Linked DNA regions of Zea mays. The main gene of each other region encodes a partner of the protein of the gene in region 3 in a complex. Links are inferred from orthologs where the notes say so. Each region holds a gene or a part of one and is shown on either strand. Other genes may lie near its edges.

Evidence for each region.
Region 1: General transcription factor IIH subunit 2-like (region 3) and DNA repair helicase UVH6 share a complex: the UniProt entries of both Arabidopsis thaliana proteins name them as parts of the 7-subunit TFIIH core complex. The link is inferred for Zea mays from reciprocal best matches to the Arabidopsis thaliana genes GTF2H2 and UVH6.
Region 2: General transcription factor IIH subunit 2-like (region 3) and REX1 DNA Repair family protein share a complex: the UniProt entries of both Arabidopsis thaliana proteins name them as parts of the 7-subunit TFIIH core complex. The link is inferred for Zea mays from reciprocal best matches to the Arabidopsis thaliana genes GTF2H2 and AT1G12400.
Region 4: General transcription factor IIH subunit 2-like (region 3) and General transcription and DNA repair factor IIH subunit TFB4-like share a complex: the UniProt entries of both Arabidopsis thaliana proteins name them as parts of the 7-subunit TFIIH core complex. The link is inferred for Zea mays from reciprocal best matches to the Arabidopsis thaliana genes GTF2H2 and AT1G18340.

What each region holds. Positions count from the first base shown.
Region 1 is NC_050105.1:91,195,640-91,200,865, forward strand, and holds the start of DNA repair helicase UVH6, read left to right. Parts: upstream 1-1,777; 5' UTR 1,778-2,002; coding exon 2,003-2,826; intron 2,827-2,969; coding exon 2,970-3,052; intron 3,053-3,147; coding exon 3,148-3,551; intron 3,552-3,640; coding exon 3,641-3,834; intron 3,835-4,121; coding exon 4,122-4,302; intron 4,303-4,927; coding exon 4,928-5,052; intron 5,053-5,213; coding exon 5,214-5,226. UniProt on the Arabidopsis thaliana protein: ATP-dependent 5'-3' DNA helicase, component of the general transcription and DNA repair factor IIH (TFIIH) core complex, which is involved in general and transcription-coupled nucleotide excision repair (NER) of damaged DNA and, when complexed to CDK-activating kinase (CAK), involved in transcription by RNA polymerase II.
Region 2 is NC_050101.1:47,598,803-47,602,881, forward strand, and holds REX1 DNA Repair family protein, read right to left. Parts: upstream 2,496-4,079; 5' UTR 2,310-2,495; intron 1,848-2,309; 5' UTR 1,818-1,847; coding exon 1,783-1,817; intron 1,681-1,782; coding exon 1,503-1,680; 3' UTR 1,264-1,502; downstream 1-1,263. UniProt on the Arabidopsis thaliana protein: Component of the general transcription and DNA repair factor IIH (TFIIH) core complex, which is involved in general and transcription-coupled nucleotide excision repair (NER) of damaged DNA and, when complexed to CAK, in RNA transcription by RNA polymerase II.
Region 3 is NC_050097.1:31,348,865-31,354,246, forward strand, and holds the start of General transcription factor IIH subunit 2-like, read left to right. Parts: upstream 1-1,877; 5' UTR 1,878-1,897; coding exon 1,898-2,218; intron 2,219-4,259; coding exon 4,260-4,721; intron 4,722-4,801; coding exon 4,802-5,174; intron 5,175-5,382. UniProt on the Arabidopsis thaliana protein: Component of the general transcription and DNA repair factor IIH (TFIIH) core complex, which is involved in general and transcription-coupled nucleotide excision repair (NER) of damaged DNA and, when complexed to CAK, in RNA transcription by RNA polymerase II.
Region 4 is NC_050099.1:247,476,737-247,481,895, forward strand, and holds the start of General transcription and DNA repair factor IIH subunit TFB4-like, read right to left. Parts: upstream 3,567-5,159; 5' UTR 3,361-3,566; coding exon 3,330-3,360; intron 3,228-3,329; coding exon 3,139-3,227; intron 2,989-3,138; coding exon 2,718-2,988; intron 2,643-2,717; coding exon 2,587-2,642; intron 2,446-2,586; coding exon 2,408-2,445; intron 2,330-2,407; coding exon 2,284-2,329; intron 1,876-2,283; coding exon 1,822-1,875; intron 1,731-1,821; coding exon 1,662-1,730; intron 769-1,661; exon of another isoform or gene 459-768; intron 376-458; exon of another isoform or gene 95-375; intron 9-94; exon of another isoform or gene 1-8. UniProt on the Arabidopsis thaliana protein: Component of the general transcription and DNA repair factor IIH (TFIIH) core complex, which is involved in general and transcription-coupled nucleotide excision repair (NER) of damaged DNA and, when complexed to CAK, in RNA transcription by RNA polymerase II.

The DNA.
Region 1 (5,226 bases), on a different chromosome or scaffold from region 3:
CTCTGCCTAGAGTCTGTCGCCCCTCCCCTCCCTCACGCCAGTGCTGGCTCCTCCTCTCCCCTCCCAAAGACCGTAGCGTTAGCACGGGTATAGACTAGTAGAGAAAAATGAGTTTGCTCCATATAATAAAACATTTAGCATCCATTGATAGTTAGGCAACAATGTTTGGTTCCAGGCCATTATTAACCAGGCCAAATTTTGGTCACAGTTTGACTAAGCTTGACTTCAAATTAAAATCATACTATAGAACAAAACTTTCACTCATATGGTTTATTTGACTATACCTAAGCTATATAAATGAGCAATTTATTATCTGACCAAATTTTAATTTAGAGTCAAATATGGTCAAATACTGACCAAATTTTGGCTTGGCCACCTAAGGCTTTAAACCAAATAGAACTAACCAAAATACACTAAAATCTCTCTCTATATCTCTACTATATTAAAATATGAGTTTCAACAGTCGTTCTGCGTCATCTTTTTACAAATAACACATCACATCTACTTCAAATTAACCTGTTGCACGCCTGTCCCCTTAACGGCAGCCTGGCACGGGCTCGACGCCCGCAGACCGCAGCTCTGGCCCAGGCACGACACACCGGCCCGTTAGCCCGTCGGGCCATTTGGTTAAATCAGCATAAAATGTTAAAAAATAGTGTCGAAGGTGGGGTTTGAACCCACGCCTATTGGAAGAATGGCGGGAGACACTAGGTGAAATCGTCTAACCAGTAGAACATCATACTCAGATGTTTTCAATATTGAATATAAATTGTACATGTGTATATATGCTTTTTTGTAAAATTAAAAATATATAATCGTGTCGGGTCGAGGCTACGGCCCAAGCATGGCACAACACTCATGTCGGGCTGGCCTAGACACTATTAAATGGGTCGTGCCTCAGACTAGCCCACCAGACACGACACATTTGATCATCTGTACCTTCGCACGATAATGATAGTACTCGACTCAGTTGTCACCACCTCGTTCGTCATCCTACTTCTTTTCTCTCTCCCCTCATGCCTCCGCCTCCGTGCCACCCCATTCTCGGCGGAGGGTGTGGAAGCAGACGCCTCCTCCCCATATTCGTCTGACACCAGCCCCTACACCGACCCACGCAGTGGCTATTGCACATCCATGAGGACGTTTCATAGCATGCGCGCACCATTGTTTTCGCCGCTGTCGGAAGTCTCGCTCGTCTTTCTGGCCTTCGCCATGTTCTTCCTCCCCAACCTGCTCCCCCGCCCACGGTTGCAGCCGCGAGCCGACCGACGCTCGTCGACACGAATATGGGGTGTGTCGGTCTTGCTCTTGGCCTTTCTCCGTGCGTGTTGCCGAGGAGGACACAATATTGTTGTGAGCCGTCGCAATAAAAAATTGTAAGATCTCTGTACGAGCCCAACCCAGAAGGTTGTACTTTAAATTCTACTCTAGGGGTACAAGGCCTGTTTGGTTCAACTTTTCTGAGAATCTGAATGTGGGGAGAATCTGGATGTGTAGAGAATTTGAGTATCGTTGCGATTATGTGCAAAGAAAGATGAATTTGTCTATAGGGCTCAGGATCTAGAAATTGACGGATTCCTATTATTGCAACGACTCAACCGATTATGTGTTTATATTGATTTCAGATGGTTTTACCAAAATTAATTTTATAGAAGCTAGCTAAAAAGTTGAGCGTTTAACCGTCCACAATAATTTTTGGTGGACAGAAACCGAAAAAACTGAAACAAAGAGGGCTATGAGTGGCCTTCCCACCCTTTGTATCGTTCATTCGTAGCCCGTAGCTCGCAGCCGACTCTGTTCTCTGTACCAGCCCAACCCAGAAGCCTATACTCGTTACGATTACGAGCCCACCAGCATCTCCTCTGCACGGGGGCATTCCACCGAGCACCTCACGTGATCTCCACCCCGCGGCGGCGGCGCGAGCACCGTCTCCGCCTCTCCGCTCTCCGGCGAATCAAACCCCTCCGGCGTTGCCCCTCGGTTGCCTTTCCCCTCCGCCACAATGCGGTTTGACCTGGATGGCCTGCCCGTGCACTTCCCGTACGCGGCGATCTACCCGGAGCAGCACGCGTACATGGGGGAGCTCAAGCGCGCCCTCGACGCGCGCGGGCACGCGCTGCTCGAGATGCCCACGGGCACCGGCAAGACGGCGGCGCTCATCTCCCTCATCACCTCCTACTCCCTCGCCAACCCGGCCCGCCCGCTCCGCCTCATCTATTGCACCCGCACCGTGCACGAGATGGAGAAGACCCTCGCCGAGCTCCGCCTCCTCTTCGCCCACCTCCCGCCCGCGGCCTCCCGCTCCCTCCTCGCGCTCGGCCTCTCCTCCCGCAAGAACCTCTGCATCCACCCGCAGGCGTCCGCCGCCGCCGCCCGGGACTCCGTCGACACCGCCTGCCGCCGCCTTACGGCCTCCTGGGTCCGCGAGAAGGCCTCCTCCGACCCGGACTCCACCCCGCTGTGCGAGTTCTACGAGACGTTCGACCGGGCCGCTGCCGCCGGCGACCTCGCCTCCTTCATGCCGCCCGGGGTGTACACCCTGGCAGACCTCCGCGCGCTCGGAAGGGAGCGCCGGGTCTGCCCTTACTTCCTTGCCAGGCAGATGGTCAAGTACGCCAATGTTGTGGTGTACAGCTACCAGTACCTGCTCGACCCCAAGGTGGCCAGCATTGTGTCCAGGGAGATGCAGAAGGAGTGTGTGGTCGTGTTCGATGAGGCTCACAACATTGACAATGTCTGCATAGAGGCGCTGAGCGTCAGCATCCGCAAGCAGACGCTGGAAGGCGCAGAGCGAAATCTGCGGCGCATCTCGCAAGAGATCGACAGGTACCACTCCCAATTGTTGGATATACTTAAGCCAGCCACCAATAGCCACTGAACGATAGGTCCTGTTTCTTTAGAACTATTCATCTTCAACTTTGTGATGGATAGTTAAGCTTGCTTTGCCAACTGCTTTATCTGGTAGGAAGGTTCAAGGCCACCGATGCCAATAGGCTTCGTGCTGAATACAACAGACTGGTGGATGGACTGGCACAGCGAGGAAATCTACCAAGTAAGCACTGGCCTTTTGCCACCAGTACTGCATTTCGCACTGTCAGCTATAGCCTTCTGCATATAGCTCACAGTATTATGCTTCTTGTGATGAAGTATCGGATGCTTGGCTCGCGAATCCGTCTTTGCCTGATGACATCTTGAAGGAAGCTGTTCCTGGAAACATAAGGAGGGCTGAACATTTTCTTGCTGTCTTGCGGAGGCTTGTGAGATTCCTTGATGGCCGGCTTGAAACAGAAAATGTTGAGAATGAAATGCCAGTTTCCTTTGTTGCCTCAATCCATTCCCAGGCTGGAATCGACCAAAAAATGCTGAGGTTTTGTTATGACCGGCTACACTCCCTAATGATGACATTAGAGATAACTGATACAGATGAGTTCATGCACATACAGACCATATGTGACTTTGCCACACTGATTGGAACTTATACACGGGGCTTTTCTATTATAATAGAGCCGTATGATGATAGAATGCCTGATATTCGTGATCCTGTTATTCAGGTACCCAGACTACTCTTTGTGATCATGCTGAAATTGTATACACACTCTGCTTCTTTAGTGTGCTACTAATGAACTCATTTGTTCTGCAGCTGAGTTGCCATGATGCTTCACTCGCAATAAGACCTGTTTTTGATCGTTTCGAAACGGTTGTGATCACTTCTGGAACTCTCAGCCCAATAGATCTTTACCCTCGTCTCTTGAATTTTAATCCTGTCATAAGCAGAAGCTTCACCATGTCCTTAACAAGAGATTGTATTTGTCCCATGGTCTTGACCCGAGGAAGGTATGAGCTGGTCCCACGCGAACTTCATATTTCAAAATCTACTGTACTGTAGCATGACACTTATGTTAAGCATGGCACTTATGTTAGTCTTTAAATGCTAGCATTGTCAACATATTCTTAGGTTTGGAAATGCTAACACTGTCTTGCGTATACATGATACATTTTTATTCCTGAGAATCATATGACACTTATGTTAAGCTTTTATAACATCTTTAGTTGTTTCCAACATTTCATATTACTGGTAGCATTGTACACTGTGTAAACACCAACCATTCCATCATCTTCAGTGATCAGCTACCTGTGAGTACAAAGTTCGATATGCGTAGTGATCCTGGTGTTGTGAGGAATTATGGCCGCCTCTTGCTGGAAATGGCTTCTGCTGTTCCAGATGGCATAGTTTGCTTTTTTGTCAGTTATTCCTATATGGATGGCATTGTCAACAGCTGGCACGAAATGGGAATTCTGCAGGTTATTTCTTTCACTTGTAAATTTCTTTCTCATATAAACCCTACAATTAATATAGATATGGCAATGAGGGATGTGTCTAATCGTGTAACACCTATGCAACTCAGCTAAGTTCATAAATCGTCCATATCTGTTAGATAATTGGGCATGTCCTCTGGAACATCATCGGTTTATAGTAAGTATATGAAATGGTGTCTAAGCATCTAATTCCATATTGTTGTCTGTTTTAGATTTTCCATTCAACTATCTATATTGATAATAACTTAATAAGACTATAAGTCTATAAGAGTCTCAAGTTGCATTAAGACTCACTCCTGTAGACACTGTCAAATTATTTATTACATCGGCAACATGCATAATTGCATATGGAACTGGATAGGCTGCTTTAAGTCTTTCCTTTGGTTCTAGATAGATGCTATCTAGTCTTTGGACAAAGAACTACATCTACCATATCTTCGGTTTTGTTATCTAAAGGATATGCTCGGTATTGGTGCTAATTTTTGTTATCCACAAAGATATGCTAGTCATCTGTGTTATGAAAATAAAATACCTGTAAATGTTATATAGCCAAGATAAGATGTATATGCATTAGTTCCAATAACGAAAACCTGGTTTTACTGTTTTTCAGGACATCATGCAACATAAATTAGTGTTTATCGAAACACCAGATGTCGTTGAGACAACATTGGCTCTTGATAACTACAGAAAGGCATGTGATTGTGGAAGAGGTGCCATTTTCTTCTCTGTTGCCAGGTTGGTCCACCTTATTATTTTGCGTTCTGAAAGCAACCTTCCAAAATTTATATTTGATCATGTCAAATAATCAGTAATGTGACTGACTATGTGATATAGATAAAAATGTTGTCGCCATTGTAAGCTATAGTTTCACTTTTGCTAACACTTAACTAATGCAGGGGCAAAGTTGCT
Region 2 (4,079 bases), on a different chromosome or scaffold from region 3:
TTTTGCATTCCTATACAATGTTATAGTGTTCTTTTCCTGCCGTATCTAAACACATTTCAAATTTAGTACCACATAGAAATATAGATAGAAGATAGAAATTAAATATGATAACAACTTATACTAAACACGTTTCAAATTTTTAAACTCATTCGTACTTGTACGTCCAATTTGTGGGTATAGTCGTATTTTTTTTCTTTTTTTAAGTTAGGATGTGCTTAAATCATGGATACATAACTTGTAACCACTAAGCTAAGTATTGTTTTGCATTGTAAATTACACTGTTTGTAGAGTGAAGTTTAAAATAGAGAGCTTGCTGGAGATAATATAACTTAGCCCTAGTTTGCAAGAAATAGGAGACAAATGGAGTGAGAGAAAACCTTCTATAAATAACTAAATATCCTATGTAGAGCTAGAAAATAAGCTCGAGGCTTGCGAGCCGGCTCGAGCTCGGAGCGGCTCGGCTCGCGAGCATCGAGCGGCTCGTTCCGACTCGTGAGCTGTGACAAATTACTTAACATATAGAATAATGATATAATGATGGATATTAGCTAATTTTATAGATTGTAAGTTACTTAGCGTTTTATGATAGATATATAAAAACAATAATTTAGATTACTCATAATAATGAATGATATCTATATATTTCATATTTATATACTAATAATTCACTATATAATGAAATTATATAATATCAGGGTATGGCTCGCGAGCCGCCTTTGAACCGAGCCTGTTTCTCCAGCTCGTGAAACAGACGAGCCGAACCGAGCTCGGTCGGCCACCGAGCTGCACCGCTCGGCTCGTTTCCAGCCCTAATCCTAGGGTTTGTTTGAGAGCAAGAATACTAGAAGGGCTTATAAGAGTCTAAAATTCTCATGTTATTCAATTTTGAATATCATTGCTCTCAAGCAAGCCCTTATGCAGATAATGTTCCTAGGATTACTCACCGAGGGAAAATATAGGGATCTCTAGAGGATTTGGATTTCCAAACTACCTGTTAGTGTGCCACCGTAGTTTTGTTGTCCATAGCAAGACAAAGATACATACAAATAAAGGCACAGATATACGTGACTATGGCCCTGTTCCAATCTCGCGAGATAAACTTTAGCAGCTTTTTTTAGCTACTTTTAGCCATTTATAATCTAAACAGAAGAGTTAATGGTGGTAATTGAAACTAAACTTTAGCACTTCAATTCATATAGCTAAAGTTTAGCAGGAAGCTAAAGTTTATTCCGTGAGATTGAAACGGGGTCTAAGCCCCATCTGGATCTCAAATTCTCAACGGATTTTAAGGACCTGACAAAAAGAATCCCAGAATACCACAAGTGCAGCACAGTAGCAGTGCCCTCTGCACGTTTATAGCACATAGCAGTATGATTTCAAGGCCACAGGTGGGATCTATTTGGCGTACTCGTTTCCGCTGAGGTGCTCAGCTCACAGCAGAAATAATACAGGCAACGAAAGCAAGTCCCAAGGAAGGAGTGTAGGACGCGGTAGATCCTCCACTACTGCGGCTTCTCGTAGCTGTTCTGGTCCCTGAACTCCCCGATCTTGCTCCTGATCATGTGCGCCACGTGAGGCTGCACGAACATGTTGGTAGGGTCGAGCATGTGCACGATGAACCTCTCCGACGGCGGCATCGACGCGTTCAGGTTGACGATGAACTGTGCCATAGGTACGTCGCTGAAAAATAGAGGGACGGACGGACGGCAACCATGTAAAGGCAGGGAGAGAGGGAGAAATGCAAACGAGGGATTCATTTTCAGCTGCGTCAGGAGAGCTTACCAGGAGATGAACAGCCCCTTGATCGCGTTAACCATCTTGCCTGTGCTCTGGACAGGGACAACTGCCTGGTTACATCGCCACACAGAAACAACGTCAGTTGGAGTACCAAAGAAGCAGCACCAGGACTGCAAACTTTTCGCACGAAAACGACGCGCATGAAGGTGATAGACTGGTGTCGCAGTGATTGTAGGATTGGTTGAAGGACAGAACAAAGGGTCAGCAAGATGCTCCACGTTTTCTTGCGCGCATAATCTCAGCGGATATCTTGTAATTCTCTGTGCACGCATTACACCGAACAACTACAGGGCACGGAGGGATTCAACGACAAACATAATAATCGCTTCTATTATTTTCGTAGCGGCAAGTAGGCCAATCATCAACCGAGGTCAGCTGAGTCGGAGGAAGAAGTGGCCCTCGGGGAGTTCCATGATCCGTCCCAATTCCCAACTCTCTTGCTCTCACCATGTCGATTCAGAACGGGAGGGAAAAAAACCAAACAAAAAAGTTCAGATCCGAGACGGCCTCACCGTTGCTTGGCACCGACGACGACGCTCGTCGTGGTCCCGCGTCCCTCCCGGCCGCAGGATTCAGTCCTCTCGCTTCGGATCGGATCCTCCACTCTTCGCTCGCCGGCGGCGCCGCAGCTCCTCTATCTATCGGCCTCACCTTTCCTCGCTTCTCCTTCAGCCCTCTTTGCGGCAGACGATAAAGATGCTGGGCCCGCTGGCTTCTTCGCCCGCCCACCAAACCCATGTTCACAGCCCACGGTCCGACCCATTTCTTGCAATTTGACACCGCAGTTTCCGTCCACAAAAAAAAAAAAGAACAATTAGATCTATACCATTAAAAGATCCAAACTTTAGATATATATCATGGATCACACATGTCATTGACTCATGTGGACCTATATATAAGTGAGATAGTAATGGTATGGATCCAAAGTGGTGATCTTTTAATGGTATGAATCTAAATTTCCAAAAAAAAAATTGCGTACGAATCATGGAACACCCGAGGGCCACTTCCTCCTCTCCTGACTCAGCTGACCTCGGTTGATGACTGGCCTACTTGCCCCTACGAAAATAATAGAAGCGATTATTATGTTTGTCGTTGAATCCCTCCGTACCCTGTAGTTGTTCGGTGTAATGCGTGAACAGAGAATTACAAATTTATGTCCAGCAATAGCAGAACCAAATTGTCATATGACAGTACTTAAAATTCAGTGAGGAACCACACTGTGTAACAGAATTTTGAAAAGGTGATGGTGAAAAACTTACTACAAATCTAGGATATTTTAGGTCTGCAAGGTTGCTGATTAACTAGGTACTAGGTATTCATAAATTTGATACTTAAACTGTCGTACTCATACCCAATAAATTAGATGACCTTAAATTGCGAAATTTCATGAAAAAGGAGAAAAAAATACACAAATCACTTCGCGCAGAGCTTCACACCACCACACAGCAAATCACTTGCGCATTTATTATAATTTTGGACAAGAACGTAGCTCATTTGGTGGGGAAGTAATTATCAAACAAAATAAAATTTGTGCGTGCAGCATGGACGTGGCTATATGAATGCACGGCATGTGCAGATGTGCCGCTGCCCAAGATTTGCTAATACAAGTGACCAAAGATGTGTTAGGTAGTAGTAATTGAGGAGACAAAGAGAGTGAGAGACCTGCGGCCAGCGGCCTCCAGCCTCCAGGTGAACATGACTGTGACGGTCTCAAACAATCAAACCTGAGGGGATGTGCAGTGTGCTGCACGGCTTGTAGCGGTGCAGCCCTGCACCCAGCACGCTGGAGAGCTGGTCTGCTGCCTGGCCCGCCCGCTCGAGGGAGATTGGGATTTGGGAGGACGAACGAGAGAGTCGAGTCGGCGACGATGACAGAATAGAAGCTAGTTTTCTCACTTTGCTGGTCACTTTATATATGTCGGTCATTGAGTCTTAATTCTATGGCCCGAATTCTTTAGTGCCTGTTTATATGGGCTCGTGAGGATTAGGGACGAAGAAGAGACTACCATACTCGTCCCCGCTAAACCTGATGGAGATGATTCTTTCTCATTTTAATACCTCATTGAAATAAATTGTAACTATCCCCGTCTTGTAATATCTCCGCGGGGAACGGGACTTCATTACCATCTCTACCTAGGATTGCCAAACAGAAATGACATCGACTGTGTGTTCAAATAAATCAAAATATACATTGTTTTTGGACATACAAAAACTCTAATTTTCAATCCCATCACAAATTAAGGGGTAAGCATACCTTCTACAAAATGCAAGGTGACGATGCT
Region 3 (5,382 bases):
AGCACTGTACTGTTCACGTTGACTTGTATTCGCTTGCACGTCACTCTCGAGCCTTTTACCTTCTGTCAAGCCGAAGGTATAAATGTAATTCGATATTGTTCATATTCATTCATGATAATATAATAAAAATGTCCTGATAATATCATATGATTATTCATGTTATTTTCCATGTCTCATATGTTTCTACTTTTATTATTATATGCTGAGATGATGAAGGTATGTCCTTCATAACCTTCGTCTGATGATCATTATATCCTAAGGGAGATAATGCTTCGAAGGACGAAGGTCTTTGACTATTAACGTTTTGTGTTGTCTTGTTCTTAACTCATAGCATTTGAGAACAAGTGACCAACAACCCCCCTCTAGGCGACTTTCAAAAATCGTCACACATCTCTTTTCTAAATTTACGCGCGTGTAGAGTAACGTGTTTGACTCATGTATGCCTTCCTTATTTTTTTTGCGCGCACAGATGTGGGGTTGGGGGGGGTGCACCCAACAGCCTGCTTAGGGTGTGGGTGGACGCGCTGGCCTGGACAAGTCACATAGGTGGTCGGGCGGGGCTTGCTCTAACTATTTGAAGCTCATGACTTCTAATATACCGACCTTATATATACACACACTAGCCAATTGCTCGTGTTTTGCTACGGTTGTTATTTACCTTATAAATAAGTATTGATATATGTATTCAAATATAATTATTGTTTATTTGTAAATATTAAGATACGCGTGGTCTGGTGGTTAGCCCCAAATTTCTGGAATAGAGAGGCATGGATTCGAGTGATCGTTTTGCACTATTTTTTGCACGTGGGGCCCACAGAGCACGACACCGAGGTAGGGCACGTGGGACGGGGCTAGAGTGTGAGCGCAGAGGGTGCCCACACTAGCACGCTAGTCGCACGTCAGCCACTATTCTCCATGAATCATGAAGGGAAACATGGACCTAAGGCTATCTGCAGCGGTCTTCTCTAAATTTCTCTCCATATATCACTTTTTTTTGTTACATCTTCAATATTTCAGCCCTTTAACTTTTCATCTCCCGCAGCGGTCTCTCCTATTTTCTCCCCTTGTAACTCACTACAACCATAAAATATTATTTCATATATTATTTTTTATCCACTATTAATTTTTCTTATATTAACAATTAGAGCCGAATCCAGATTACAGTAAAATAGAGAAGACGAGCGCACGCTACATTCAGTGGAAAAGAGAAGAGGACGGCACGCCCTTGCATCGTGGGAGGCACCGTAGACGTAGGGGCAGCGCTGCGGACTGCCGTGCGCCGTCATGTGTAAGGGGATGGGGCGCGACGCCCGGCAGCCGCTGCAGTTAGCCTAAAGTCGGCCTACACGTCTCCTCAACTTCAGCCGCCTGCTCAGTTGACAAGTTCAGAGCACTGTTTAAGTACTTTGTTGCTGAGCTGACGGAAGGAAGCAGAAATCAGATAACCACTGACTGGCAAATGTCGTCTGATGGTTGGTAGCACATGTTTCGTTGACCCATTTTCCATCAAGGATGGCATAGAGAGAAAAAAAACGAAGTGTAAACTCTTGAAGTCAGCACCACTTGCATTCTTATGTTTTGGTTGCTGTGTTCTAAACTATCTATTCAGATGTCTCCTGTATACATTTTCTTTACTCTGATATACCGGTATTTCTATATTCCGCTGCTTTTTTTTTTTTGCATTCCTCTATTTTGAATGCTCCTGTATCAAACAGATGCTTAGAAAATTGGTAAAAGGGGCTTAAGGCTCCTGTAAACCAAACCAAAAGCCCAGGAGCCCCAAACTGGAGGCACCAAGCACCCGCCTGGCCCATGTGCTGGTCCCCGAATCCCGACCTCGCCTCCAGTTCCACTCTTCCGGCGGCGTCGGCGGCCGCCCCTTCCCCACGCCCACACCATGTACGGCGTCGGCGGCGGCTTCAACGCGCCCTCCACCGCTGCCTCTCGGCGCCGCAACCCAGGCGACGAAGAGGAGGACGAGGAGGATGAGGGCGGTGAGGGCCGCGTCCTGGAGGCGTGGGAGCGCGCGTACGCGGACGAACGGTCGTGGGAGTCACTGCAGGAGGATGAGTCGGGCCTCCTCCGTCCCGTCGACACCAAGACCCTCGTCCACGCGCAGTACCGCCGGCGCCTCCTACTCCGGTCTGCCGCCGCCGCCGCTGCCCGCATCCAAAAGGGGCTCATCCGCTACCTCTACATCGTCATAGACCTCTCCCGGGTTCGTTCCCTTTGCTTCATGTTCTCTTTCGTTCGGCTTGCCACATCATCAAGCACCTGGCGAGCATATTTTTCTTCGAAGTCGGTTTGGTTGTTTTGGACCCGACAGACTGGTACAAATGCCGATCGTGCTAACTTGACACCGGCTTGTGATTGCGATCTCTTGTTCCGAGAGAGATGTGGCATTGCTTACGGCCTTACTTATGGGCTACACATTTGGTTCTTAAGTGTTCACTTACTTAAGGCATGAACGGAGCAGTGAATACTAGGACTGCCTTTTGCTAGTTTCGTATACCTGTAGGTTCATCTATAAGCTTGTGAAATGTTGTGAAGATGGTGCGGTGATGCCTGTCTGTGAGTAATCCTGGTTTATTTGTTTGTAGAGCGATGTAGGTGATATGATCTGATTGGTTGCCTTTAATGCCGTTTGTTTAGCCCCAAGCTGTGACCATTATCTTATTTGGCTTGTACATTCAGAGGGTGATGCTGTAATTGGAAGACACGAGGCCAATTTTAGAATCTAATGCTGATTTAGCAACTTTAAGATTGAGTCTTTGAGAGATCAATCATTTTATGTGAGGAAACAGTTTGTTAGATGGGTAAAAACGGTATTTTGGAAATTCTAAGATCTACCATGGTTTGTATCCATGGCCCATTGGCCAGGGCATAGGTATGGAGAACTCGAGACCTAATTCTCCACTAAATCCAGAAACCAATGCTACCTTAAGGTTATACGGTAAGAATTTCTGTACTGCAGAATAATAGACTCATGTCTATGAATCATGAAGGGAAACATGAACCCAGGTATTTGCAAATTGCAATTGTTAGTATTGCTGTTGGCAGCAATATTTTGTTTGGAGTTCAAGCCTACCACAACCAAGCAGTCCAAGTTCAATTTTATATGTGTGCACACCAATTGGATTGCTGAAACAAAATGTTGATGACACAATACTTGTTTGGAATTTTCATATATTGAGATTGGATTATCGTTTCATTTTATGCATGAGGTTCTTATCGGATGAATCCTGTTAAATTCTGAAATGTTTTAACTTTTAAGCATACTTTCTGATCTGGATACACTATGTATATTTGATATATGTCGGATAGAGTGAATGTCTCATGTCTCCCTCATCAAACAGACTATTTTTTTTTTCATCAGTTTGAAGGTGTTCCTGGGGAGGGTTATTGCTATTGCTGCCTGGATATGTCTGAAGATGCTTTTTTAATTGTTTCCCCACATCTGGGAAGTTAATTCTCTCTGTCAATCCTTGTATAGATTTCTGTAGAGAAGCAAATCACGTGCCATATGGTTTTGTTTTTACCATTGGCATGGCTTGCTCCAACAAAATCCTGACATCACAAGAAGTGCATGAACTATGGTTGCAGGAAAAGGTCTTTAACAATTACCACATAGTTGATCTATGGAACACTTCTATATGTAGACACAAAATATAGACTACTCTTGGAATTTAAAAATAAAAGGATGTTTTCATTTTTTTTGGTATTGATCCAGACCCTATGGATTTGCACAAATGAACAGTTAATCTTCACTGATGAATTAGGTAGATATGGAATTATTTGATACATGTTCATTTGACTTATGGTAACATTATTCCAGGACTTACTGCAAAGAGTCATCAGGATGTGATAATTTATTTTTGTTGTTAAAAATGTGCAAAGAATAATGTCTATTCAGCTGATTGTATATTTTATAATGTCAATTGAGATTTGAGAATGAAACAATCAAACACTGCTTTAACTAACATGGATTTTTTTTCTGATATGACAAAGCATACATTTTGATTTTTGTATTGTTTCGAAACTGCACATTTCTCGTAAAAAATATCTCTCTAACATCCTTGTCAATTGTTTTTTTCTCTGGTAATTTTATAACCTTATCTTTGAGCATGCATACATGTTTCAAGTTTATAAGATTGGCTTCCTCAGTTGTTTTTGTGGCAGCGAAGAATTGTTCTACTTCAAATAATCATTACACGCTCTTTGCACCTTTGCGTTCTCAAAATTGTTTTTTACTCATGTAGGCGGCTTCAGAGATGGATTATCGTCCTAGTCGAATGGCTGTTGTTGCAAAACATGCTGAGGCTTTCATAAGAGAATTCTTTGACCAGAATCCATTGAGCCATGTTGGCCTAGTGACAATTAAAGATGGTATTGCCCATCGACTTACAGAAATCGGAGGGAGCCCAGAGTCACAGATTAAGGCTTTGATGGGGAAGCTTGAGTGTTCTGGTGATTCATCCCTGCAGAATGCTCTAGACCTCGTACATGGTTATTTAGATCAAGTACCATCATATGGTCACAAGGAAGTTCTGATTTTATACTCTGCCCTGAATACATTTGATCCTGGTGATATCACGGAGACAATAGCAAAGTGTAAGAAGTCAAAAATTAGATGCTCTGTTATTGGTCTTGCTGCAGAGATCTTCATTTGCAAACATCTATGTGAAGAGACTGGTGGATCTTACACAGTTGCACTGGATGAGGTGCTAAGATGTAATTTTGATTTTACCTTTGATTATTCGATCGTTATGAAAGATTAACGGCATTTCCTTTCTTTTTACAGTCTCATTTCAAAGAGTTGTTACTGGAACATGCTCCCCCACCTCCTGCAATAGCAGAATATGCTGCAGCTAATTTGATTAAGATGGGCTTTCCACAGAGGGGTGCTGAGGAGCTTATCTCTATTTGCTCTTGTCACAAGAAGATAAAATCTGGGGCTGAAGGTTACATATGTCCTAGATGCAAAGTTAATGTCTGTGAGCTTCCAACAGAATGTCGAACTTGTGGTCTTACGCTAGTTAGTTCTCCACACTTGGCAAGGTCGTATCATCATCTCTTCCCAGTACCACCGTTTGATGAGGTCACCCCTGTCCCAAATAGAATTCAAAGGGGAGGGCAGATCTGTTTCAGCTGCCAGCAGAGCCTTTATAACCCAGGTATGCTTAAGCTGTCAAAGCTCGTGTCCGCTACTTCTTTAGACTAGAAAATATATCTTTCACCTAGCCTGCATATGTTCAATGGTACAAACCTTATAGTTGATAGCAGGTATTTCATAAATTCATATGTCCTTTTTTTTTGCAAGGAATAGTGGTACCTGTCCTCTTTTTGAGGAATTGTGATACCTGTCCTTATTCTAACTATTCT
Region 4 (5,159 bases), on a different chromosome or scaffold from region 3:
CTTCTTTGGTATGATGCGGCTTCTATACTGCAATTATGTCCCATCATTTTTTTATGAAGTACGGACTTCCTAAAGCTGAGCTCCTTGGCTGTAGGTAAAATCGGAGCTCTCCTAGCCTCTATACCTCTTGCCTTGGCCGCCTCTGTTCTGTGCTTCACCTGGGCGCTAATTGTCGCGCTTGGTTTGTCCACATTGCGATACACCCAAGCAGCACGCTCCAGGAACATGATAATAGTTGGATTTACCCTGTTCATCTCCTTGTCGATACCCGCATACTTTCAGCAGTATGAACCCAGCTGCAACCTAATCTTGCCCAGCTATCTTCTTCCATATGCTGCAGCGTCAAGTGGGCCAGTTCGCACAGCCAGCAGCGGGGTGAGCTCTGCTGCCTTCCTTACCCGTGCAGCTAGAATGTGTTCCCGTCAATCGAATTACTGACAGTCTAAATTGTCCTGCAGCTGAACTATGCAGTGAACGTGCTCCTATCCATCAACGTTGTGGTGGCTCTCCTTGTCGCGTTGATCCTTGACAACACAGTGCCAGGCAGCAGACAAGAGCGCGGTGTGTACATTTGGACAGATCCCAAATCCCTCGAGGTGGATCCTGCGACATTGGAACCCTACCGATTGCCGGAGAAGGTTTCGTGCTGGCTCAGGTGGGCAAAGTGTGACAAGGTTTTGCTCTTTCTCACACAACATTGAATTATCTCAAACTCATAGCAGGGTACTTTATTCGCCACTTTATTCACCTCATAACCATTAGTGTTCATCCAAAAAATAAAAAAATAGGGGAACACACACCTGAAAGCTGTCGATCTGGGGTAGCCGACCGAACCGAGGAGGTTGGAGATGCGATGTGTTTGCTTGCCCGTGGTTTGAGCTTGGATCGAGGCACAGACGGTCAAAGGCGTTTACAGATGCTGATCTTGGGCCGAAGGGAAGGTGGTGTTGGTCGTCGGTGCCCGCGACAGTCGACGGCGACGTCTGCTGCTACCTTTGCGGATGGAAACCGACAGATGCGAGCTGGCGTCCCTGGACCAGCCCGACTGCCCACGCCTGCTGCCTAGCTTCGCTGACGAAGCCGACCAAGCTCGCGCGAGACCGTGGTTGTGGGGGAGGGTCGCTAGAGAATCGGAGAAGGTCTAGTGCTCATCGACCCCGGATCGACATCTTATCCAACGAGACCTAGGCGGCACGGGAGGGGGAGGCGGGGGATAATGGGCCTTGAGCGCCACGAAGGACTCAGAGGTGGAAGCGGCGGCGTTGGCTAACGGCTTCTCGAGTGCGTCGGAGTGGGAGGAGGGCGAGGGCGGGGCCGGAGGGAACGGGGTTTCGAGGGGGGGCAGGGCGGGGATGACACGACAGAGCTCTGGGAGGGGTGCAGAGCGGGGTTCCATGGGAAGGGCGGGGATCTCGCGGTGGACGCGAAGGCGGCTGCCACAGCGGGGAGGCGGGACGGGCATCACGAGCGGGGGCGCGCAGGAGCGGGACGCGCGGGCAGGCGGGCGTCGAGAGGCAGAACATGACGCACATGTGGACGCCTACAATGAGGACTTATAGAGTAGTAGGGATATAAATACATTCTCAAAAGCCCCCAAAAGGAAAAATAGAACTATATGAGCTGATATATTAATATCAGCAGAGGGAGCCTGGATAACTTACGGCAAGGTATTGAAACAGGCCATTTAGTTCTTGTGGCTTCAAATAAACTCCTCCTGTTATGTACGAAGCCTGCATAATGAAATATCGGTAACTAGTCAGCAAGAGGATGTTGTGACAGTATAACATGTGGATGAATTTGATGAGTACTAAAGAGCATTACCTGCTGCAAGAAAGCAGAATCCTGGGTTCCCACAATACAAGAGTCAATTGGTACCTAAGAGATTAGTAAGAATGTTGCCAGTCATTAAGCCACCGTAGCTAAAGTTTTGGAACAATTATGGATGCATATCTACATAGGCACATTCCAATGTCTTGCTCTTTCTGAACCCACTACATGTGTCAAATTTGGATATTAAGTACTTACTCTATCTTAGTGTATAAGGTGTAACTACTTTTTATTCTAGTCCCATAATACAAGGCGTATTATCTCTAGACATGCGTACATCGATGCAAAAGTATAGAGAGAATTAAATACATTTCTTGGTCTTTGAGCCAGAGGTGGTTACGCCTTATATACTGGGACAGAAGGAGTAATAAGTAACAACATAGTGACTGGCTGGTGAAACGAAAAGATCAATAAATCTCAATGGGACTAAAATGGATTAAGCAATTGATGTGATACCATGGAACGTTGAGCAGAAAATATTGAATTCATCACTGCCACATATCTGCACATAAATTTGATGAAGTGAAAACTAGGTCCTGAAAAAAAACTAGAAACTGCATTGATGACGATGCGTGCATACTGTTCAGGTCCGTCTGGAGATCCCTGCAGGCACAAAATCTGTATCTCGTGTTAGTATCAACTGCCGTGGCATTATAATAAGTATGAGAATACTGACTACAACAAATTATGGGCCAAACAAAGCATTATTTGTTGATCACAAATGATGAAATTAAACATTACTCAGAACTCTACACTCACCCGAGGTTGTGGATGCCGAGACCCAGACCGGAAAATCCTCTGTATATCTAAATAACCTCAATGTTAAGCAACACGAGCACAAATAAGATAGGTGAATGTGCAATAGTCAAGGAATTCAAGCGACTGGATACAGCACAAAGAGATGGACAGCGCCCCAGAGAGCAGCGACGCGGCATTGGCAGAAGCAACGGAACCGTTGCCTGCAGTGGCGCGCGCATCTTGTGCAATGAACTCCTCCGCCTTGCGGCTTGCCTTGTCGAAGGTGTCCGAGACGGCCACACCACCGGAGGGGCTGGCATCGCTGGAATCCAGGATGTAGGCACACGAGCTGACTCCCGCCGCGATGACGACCACACGGTTGAGGTGGTTCAGCAGCAGGAGGGAGTTCACGAAGTGGATCAGCTGCACGGGCATGGATATCACATCAAGCCAAGGCCCAATGGACGGATCAGGGCACCGCTACCAACGAGTCATCTAACGCACAAAATCGCCAGTGAAGATCGAACAAGGAAGCAGGCGCAGGGAAGCAAATGGAGGGTTAGGGTTGCATACGTGCGCGAAGAAGTCGGCGAAGGGGAGCGCCGCGGCGGCCCAGAAGAAGGGGTTCGTGTCGACGACGACCACGACGAGGCTGACGTCATCTGCACGCGCCGACGGGTGGCACCAGATGGGTTGAGCGCGTGTGTGTTAGGACCATGAGGGCATCGCGGAGTACGGGGATGCAAGAGTGGCGCGTGGCTCACCGGAGTAGAGCTTGGAGTGAGCGGAGGTCATGGCCGGCGAGGGGGGTTGCTGCTGCTCGCGGCCCGGCGGCAGAGGCCGGTCGCGCGCCCAGCCAATTCAAAGCTCCGAGGCGCCGGCGGGGGTGCTCGCCTCTCTGCTGGGGCGGCGGCGTGGCAGACTGGCAGCTCCGAAGCCCAGCAGGGAAGAGCCGCCGTGTGTTACCTGGCCGGCTGGGGAGGCGGTGTGGCGGCTCGAGAACGAGGGACAGGGAGGCGGCGCGACAACGAGGGAGAGGGAGGCGGTGCGGCGAGCGTCGGCGCGAGAACGAGGGAGGCGGCGTGTGAGCGGCGTGTGGGGATGGCAACGGGCATACCCGTCCGGTAGGACCGGGCGTTCGGTTATTCGGTTCGGTTCATCGGTTCTTGTAGAAATTCGGTCCTTTAAAAACTAGAACCGAAATAGTAAGATAAAAAAAACTATAATCGACTAATTTGGTTCTCGGTTCTTCAGTTCGGTTCCTCGGTTCTAACCGAACTATAACAGTCACTCTAAAATTCTGAATAACGACAACTTTTGTGACAAATTTCAGCAACATCTCCCCATAAACAACCACAAGTGCGCAATGACCATAATTTCATAAATAATACATGGATGATTAGAGGTTCAACATAAGTTGATAACACAACATCCGAAGTTACAAACACATGTAACAAATTGAATCTAATACTTTTGAGTTTTTCGGTTCTTTGGAGTGCAGAACCGAAAATGTCTCATTTATTTCGGTTCTTAGAAAAACAGAACCAAATTTCATAACGGTTCCTCGGTTCGGTTAGTTCGGTTTCGGTTCCTCGGTTCCGATTCTTTTTGCCCAGTCCAACCGTCCGATAGTATCATTTCATACCCGTATCTATCAAAAAAAATCTACCTGTCGGATTACCCATATATGTTTGCGGGTATAAAATCTTACCCATACACGTACCCGCGCGGGTATTTTTACCCGTCGCGCAACCCGAACCCGATAGGAAAGTCTTAAATTTCAATATACCAATCACTCAAAATATTAAATAAACATGCAAAAAAAATCAACTTCACATATAACAAATCATATAATCACATAACTTGGTATCTAGACAAATGATAGTAAAAGAAGAGTTTTATTTTAGCTAGGATGAGCTCTATTAGATGGTTATAGTGGTATTGATGCGGGCATATTTTACCCATGGGTAGACGGGTACGGGTAGTACCAACTCGTACCCATACCCGTCTACCCAACGGGTAGAGGTTTTACCCATTAACATATCTGCGGGTAGAGAAATCATCCCGTACCCGCCTTCATATCGGGTAAAACCCGTCGAGTATTCAGGTTTCGGGTATCCATTACCATCTCTACGTGTGAGCGACTGAGCGTTTAGCCGTTTAGGACTTTAGGTTTAGGGTTGCGGCGGTCGGCGGGTTGTCTAGTTTTGCCGTTTTGGTGACTTGCGTTTGGGCCTTGGGGAATCCGGAAATGCACCAAATGGTGGGGAAATGGTCGAATGGCTAGTGGTCGTTGGATGGCGGCGCCGCCATACTATCGGACGGATAGAATTGCTAGTAGGCTTTAGTGTACCTTAGTTAAATGGGTCGTGTCAGGCCGGTCTGTGTGCTTAAGTTGAGGCCCAGGCACGGTCCATGCATTATCTCAGGCCGGCCCGAGCCTATAGATAGGTTGAGCTGTGAAGGACTGAGTCATAACTAGAATTGTGGGCTTTGGGCCAACCTGTTATGCATAACCCAAATGTAGTGGGAGTGTGCGTGGCTCTCGTACTGGAGAGTGGAGACTGATGACTGGTGATTCCTGGTCTCCTGGA